Ovis aries: one gene and its partner. The protein of the gene in region 2 purifies or fractionates together with the protein of the main gene of each other region. This does not show direct contact. Links are inferred from orthologs where the notes say so. Each region holds a gene or a part of one and is shown on either strand. Other genes may lie near its edges. The genes, in order: NUP133 and NUP43.

The links.
Region 1: the proteins of NUP43 (region 2) and NUP133 purify together in Homo sapiens (affinity purification with mass spectrometry; 5 studies listed by BioGRID and IntAct, counting the BioPlex papers as one, with this or other methods). This does not show direct contact. The link is inferred for Ovis aries from reciprocal best matches to the Homo sapiens genes NUP43 and NUP133.

The regions. Positions count from the first base shown.
Region 1 is NC_056078.1:970,714-973,340, forward strand, and holds the end of NUP133 (nuclear pore complex protein Nup133), read right to left. Parts: intron 1,398-2,627; coding exon 1,261-1,397; 3' UTR 649-1,260; downstream 1-648. UniProt on the Homo sapiens protein: Involved in poly(A)+ RNA transport. Involved in nephrogenesis.
Region 2 is NC_056061.1:74,004,619-74,008,449, forward strand, and holds part of NUP43 (nucleoporin Nup43), read right to left. Parts: intron 3,545-3,831; coding exon 3,467-3,544; intron 2,476-3,466; coding exon 2,295-2,475; intron 494-2,294; coding exon 358-493; intron 1-357. UniProt on the Homo sapiens protein: Component of the Nup107-160 subcomplex of the nuclear pore complex (NPC). The Nup107-160 subcomplex is required for the assembly of a functional NPC.

The DNA of each region.
Region 1 (2,627 bases), on a different chromosome or scaffold from region 2:
TGCCATCTGACAACTCTCTCTCCCTAACTCCCCTAGAAGTGTTAGGACACTCCTCACCCTGATCTCACGCTGCCTCACCATGGCAATGCAGACAGAGGCCAGAGGCCGGGCGGCCCCTTCTTGCCCTCTGGTTACCACTGGGAGCAGATCAGAGGCAGCATCTGCAGCCTGCAGTGGAGCCGGCACGAGGGCTGAGCTCTGCGAAGCCAGGAACCGGACTCTTCACCACATTTAACTCCTGACCTTTTCAGCTGCTGGAACCAAGTTGTTTAGTGAGTATTCAACTGGGCCAAAGCCTGAATATGCCAGCAACTCCGTCTTTATTTAAAGACAGATAAAAACTGCACGATGACACTGGCCAAGACAAAGAAGCTTTGAGAACGACTACTTTTCAGTTAAATCAGTTGCCATACTAAGAAAACCGATAAAGGTTTCTATAAAGGTTTCACACCTTACATTAGCTAGACAGACTGAGGAGAAGCTGGAGTTCAGTGTAAATCATTCTGAAATGCATGACGCTGACTGAATAGGTTGTGGTGGTGGTGGTTTAATTGCTAAGCCATGTCGATGTTTTGCGACCTTATGGACTGTAGCCCGCCAGGCTCCTGTCCATGGGATTTCCCAGGCAAGAATACTAGAAAACGTAAATACGCTTTATTCACCAAGATATTTTTATTAATACTATTATTTATGTAGAAAAATTTGACATCTTTCCCAATGAAGTAAACAGTTATCAAGCTCACACTGAATTGCCCCACTTTTTGTTTTGTCTATTTTATAAGTTAGCAAATTGTGACACTTATCCCAGTAGATATTCTGCTCCCAGCCCTAATCAAAATCAAAACAAATATTCCAGACACTTTGCAGTACATAACATCGAAGAGTCACAGCAATTTCAGAGACGACTTAGTGAAATCTTGCTGTTTTTAGAGTTATAGAAGCTAAAGCCTAGAAGTGGTCTTTGCATACAAGAAGCTGGAACCAGGACCCTGGATGGAGTGAGAAAAAAAGGAACAGTAGTAGATATGAAAACAACTGATAAACTTCAGTGGAAAACAGGAAAAAAAAAACCAGTATCATGTAACTGAAAACCAAAACTACAGTCATAAAACTATTTTGTAGTAGCTTACAAATAAAGTATAAAAAACTCAGAAATATATGTTATAAAACTGTACAAACTCCTAGATGTTTAAGGTCTAAAGTTTTTATAAGGACACACTTATATAAATTTTAAGGAAAAATAATCATTTTAAGAAAAAGTCACATTTGTCCCTGGACATAGTATTCGTAATTGGCTTTCAAAACAAACTCAAAGTAAGGGTTGGACTTCAAACTTCCCAGCTGGTCGGCCTGCAGCAGCTCCTTCACCTCGGGTAGGTACTCACTGAGCTGAATGCCTAAAAATACAAACACAGACAGTTTTGTTTTTTTTTTTAATTTTCACATAATTCTCAAATGAATTAAGATGACAGATGATAGAAACACCTGTGCTTCTATTTAAAATATAACGTCACTCTGCTATTGGAAAATACTCTGTTCTAAATTCCTTCCATCTGCCAAGCATACTCACAGGCCTGACAATATGACAGTCTTCACTTAGTAGGGGCTACATGACTGTTCTATGTATCTGGGCTCCGTGTTTGACTCTAGTGGTCAAAAGAGCCGTCAAAACAGCCATTCCATTTCAAGCCTTTAAAACAATCTGCAACATTTTCATTTTTCTCCATAGCTTAGGCCATTCCTTCAGTGTGGAAGTTTTAAGTTAATAATCACTTGAAAACAAGTATTTCAGGGCCAAGCAAACAGCATTCTAAGCAGCTATACAGTAAAAGAAGTAGAAGGTATCAGTGAAAGATTGCTTATAAACCAGTTGTAAAATTTGTTAAGACAGGAATCCCGAGTTATCAAGGAAGACAAAGTTATACTATACCCTCTTAAAAGACTTTCAGACATTTATCTGTCCCCCAGATCAAAGACCCACTGTTTCACCTGGATGGGTGGTCTCCCCACACTCCAGAAATGCCTGACTGCAGAGGTGCTTATTTGAGAACTGGTTTTTAATGTTTTTTTTCCTAGGGTAATTGGTTCACTTAATTTTTTTAAAATTAATTTCCAGAGTCAACTTTGGTAATATATATTTTCCTTGATTTTGATCAACTTTCTTTTGTATTTCAAGTTTATTTTTGAAAAGACATATAAAATTCTTTAAAAATAAAAAAGAAAACAAGTATTTCCAACAATTCTATATTCTCCTATTCAGGAAATAATATAGTGGAACACTGCCATGAAAGCTATCTGCAGTATCTAACATACTGGCAGTTTCTCTCTGAGACTAGGAGGAGGGAAACCACGCCTTTGTCAGTCCCCTGTGGACCTGGAAAGCCAAAAAGCATCTGTGTAGTTACAGAACAGCATATACAATTTTCTCATTTGATAAATAAAGAAAATTGGAAGAAACATTTTAAATTAATAAGGTAACATTTTATAACCTGTCACATTACCACAAGCTTCTCAAAATCAAATACTGTTTATTTTTAACATCATCTAAGTGCCTAGCACCACTGTTGGTACTTAGTTACTATACAATAAAAATCTTATAAGAAATGCTATGAGACTTAATCTGCAAT
Region 2 (3,831 bases):
CCATCAAATTATACAATTGATCATGAACAACATAGGTCCACTTATATATGAGTATTTTTCAATAGTAAATATACTTTGCTACATGATCCAAGCTTGGTTGAATCTGGGAAGGTGGAACCTTTGGTACAGAGGATTCCTGGTAGAGTGCCAACTATAAAGTATACATGGATTTTCGAGTGTATAGAGGGTCAGTGACTCTAATGCTTATATTGTTCAAGGGTCAACTGTATTTGCTTTATCAAAGTTAATCAGAAATTACTCTTAACATGCAATTGAAATACAATATGGCTTATAAAGTTAGTTGCTACAAATAAACAAATTTGCTTTATACTACTGAAATTACAGATCAAAACTTACAGTGATAATATCTGCGTGGGCTCATTTCCTTGTTGTCTAAAATCCCATATTTTTAACTGTCCAATTGAATTTACTGTAAGAATCTCAGGAGTTCGAAGGAAGGTTACAGCATGGAGTGTACTGCTATCTGCATTGTCTGTAAATTAAGAAAACTGCAGTGTATGTTAACAGGGCACCACTTTTCCATGAATACCTTAAACAGTGTTCCCTCTGTTGACTGAAAAATTACAAGTGAAACTTTAAATAAGTCACAATTTTATTTCTATGGAAAAATATAGGAACATATGTTAAAATGGACTCTCCTTTGATAGAAAAATTATATTACTCACAGGACATCTGAACTGTTTTCCAACTAGAGGACTAAGTTTTCATATATTTCTCTATTTCCACTTAAGAGTACTACATTTCTGAGACAGCTGTTCAAGTTTCTTTATAATCCAATTTTATCTCCCACCACTGCTTCACCCTAGACAACCTAGACATCATGTTAAAAAGCAGACATTATTTGCTAGCAAAGGTCCATCCAGTCAAAGATACGGTTTTTCCACTAGTCATGTATGGATGTCAAAGTTGGACTTTAAAGAAAGCTTAGTGCCAAAGAATTGATGGTTTTGAATTGTGGTGTTGGAGAACACTCTTGAGAGTCCCTTGGACTGCAAGGAGATCAAACCAGTCCATCCTAAAGCAGATCAGTCCTGAATATTCTTTAGAAGGACTGATGCTCAAGCTGAAACTCCAATCCTTTGGCCACCTGATGTGAAGAACTGACTCACTGGAAAAGACTCTGATGCTGGCAAAGATTGAAGGCAGGAGAAGGGGACGACAGAGGATGAGATGGTTGGATGGCATCCCTGACTCAATGGATATGAGCTTGAGCAAGCTCCAGGAGTTGGTGATGGACAGGGCTGCAGTCCATGGGGTCGCAAAGAGCAACTGAACTCAAGTGCTTCATCCAGAACCTCCATTCTGTTGGGCCAAACACCACAGCTTCCTACAGAGCTCAATCTGACCCTGTATTATTCTGCTGACTCATCTCAAATTGATTCATCTTTATCCTTATCAGCTCTCTTTTCTGCCATGAAGTTCTTCCTGTTTGCCTTAATGGTCCTTCTGCTTTTTCTAGTGTGTCTAAGCTTATACATCTTTATTTAGTATATACTTAAAGACTTTTATTTTGTGACCCTTCTCCAAACTGTCACCAGGCCAGCAGTCTTTCAAAGCTAAACAAATGGTATTTCTCAGAACTAAAAATGATAATAATAATACAAAAAACTGATTCATGGGCTCAATCCATAGAAGTTCTAATTCAAGAGGTCTAGGGTGATGGGCTGTTAAAAATCTCCTCGGGCAAGTCTGTGCAAAATATGGTTGAGAACTACTACACTAGTCAGACATGATTTAGCAACTAAACCACTACCACTGCACTAAATAATCCTTCTAAAACACGATGTGGGTACATTACCCCTTTGCTCAAAAACTTTCAATGTCTCCTTAGCTGTCTACCTAAAAAAAGGTATTATCTTTCACAACCTGACTGCAATCTACCTTTCTTGTTTCATCTCTCAATTCTCCTACACAAATATCTAAAGTCAGGTCAAACTACACTTTCTGTCATTCTCTGACTGGCCTTACCCCGCCTCTATGCTATTCCCTTTATCTGGCGTGCCACTTCTCAGTATTATTTATGGTCTAGAATCTAGATTAAATGAATTGCCCTGCCCCTCAATTCTTTATCCAGTAATTCCTTCCAACCATCCTCCCCACAAATTTCTCTTTCTTCTAGTCAGTCCTTCATACAGGCCTTATCAACATACTATCTTGATAAAGGGATCCTGCTTTGTATATTTCTAAATCCCTCAAACATTTAACCCCTGGCACTGCACACAGGAGGTGCTGAATTACTATAAGATAGACCAAAGAAAGATGATTTTTCTTACCTATAGTTCTTACAGCTTCCTTGTGATCAGCTCTGAAGAGATTTATCCGACCATCTTCTCCAACTGTGACAATTTCTGGGTTGTTGCACACAACACCTGTGCATGGTGCATTGCTACAGGAAGGACTGCCTGGACCCGTGTGGTAGTGAGCTGCTGTCCACTGCTGGCTGACTGACAGAGTCTAGGTGTCAGAAATGAGGCTATGATTAATTAAAGCAAAGCTCCAAATAATTAGCACTTTCCCTAACTACACTATTATTTTAAAACTGTGTTTCATACCTTTCTAGAAAAATAGTACTCTTTTCGCTTTGTATTTCAAAGTATTAAGGTCTAGGAAATACTTCCATTAAAGCTCTGTATTCACCAGATCAGATTCCAAAGAAACCCTGTTTAATAATATTCCAAACTTATCTCAAACTAAAGAAACAGTTTTTAAGCATCAGGTAATTATGTGTTCAAAGACAACTCTAAATTCTTAAGGGAACTGATCTACATTGAAGAGATAAATCTCTGCAGGGCTTTCCAGATGATTCTGTAAGAATAACATTTAACTAGATCTGGGTCTTATACTTACTAGGCATGTCTATTAGTAAGATGACCTTTATCAATATCCAAATCTAAATAAGCATTCTCTTCCAGCAACTTAAAACTGTTAACTTCAAGTGGGCCTATTTTAAAGGACTGCCCTTAAACTATGCTCTGAAAGTCAGCACTCTTAGCCTTTGACATATAAGAAAAGCATAGAAAAAGTATCAAGCCTTCATATAGTGTATCTTTCCTTCTAATTACAACCTCGGTTCTGTTCACAGAAGTAGAGTAGCTGTTCCTGCTCCCTCTCATGATGTCTGAGCTAGAAAGTGCTCTTTCTCTCTTCAGAAAACCAGAGGAGGATCTTAACAGAAAGTTACAGGAAAATCACTTGCCAGAATACCATACTGTTACATGGAACCTAAGAAAATTGAAGAGTTACCCAATTTCAATGAAAGTTCACACAGAAATGGTTCTAGAATTAGTCAACTAAAAGATGGGTAATGCAATGACATTTTCCCCTCCTTTTTATAGTTTTTGAGACAATAAAACTTTATAATTTGTCATTATTAAGTATAGCCTTCTTTAAGCCTTCCTAAAAATAATTAAAATGCAAACTGAGTTTTCAAACAAAAATTCTTTACCTGGTTATTTGGATGGTGGAGGAAAATTGTCACACATCCTGTCGATGAAGCAGCTACAATTCTTTCCTGGTCCAAAAACTAAACAGAAAATTCCTGCATGTTATAAATTCATAAATATCAGCAGGGAAGAAGCCCATTTATCTAACTCAATTAGCAGTGTAACAATTTTAAAATGCAAAGAACCTACAAATGCTAAGCAAATAAAATGCCAAAGTCAAAACTGCTATACAAATAAAAGTATTTTCATGAAGAATAAACAACAATAATTTCCCCCCTCAAACCTGTTCATCTACAATTGATTTAATTTTGTACAACTACCATAAACGTTTAGGAGAGTATAATTCCCAGGGTCAGGCAGCTTTCCA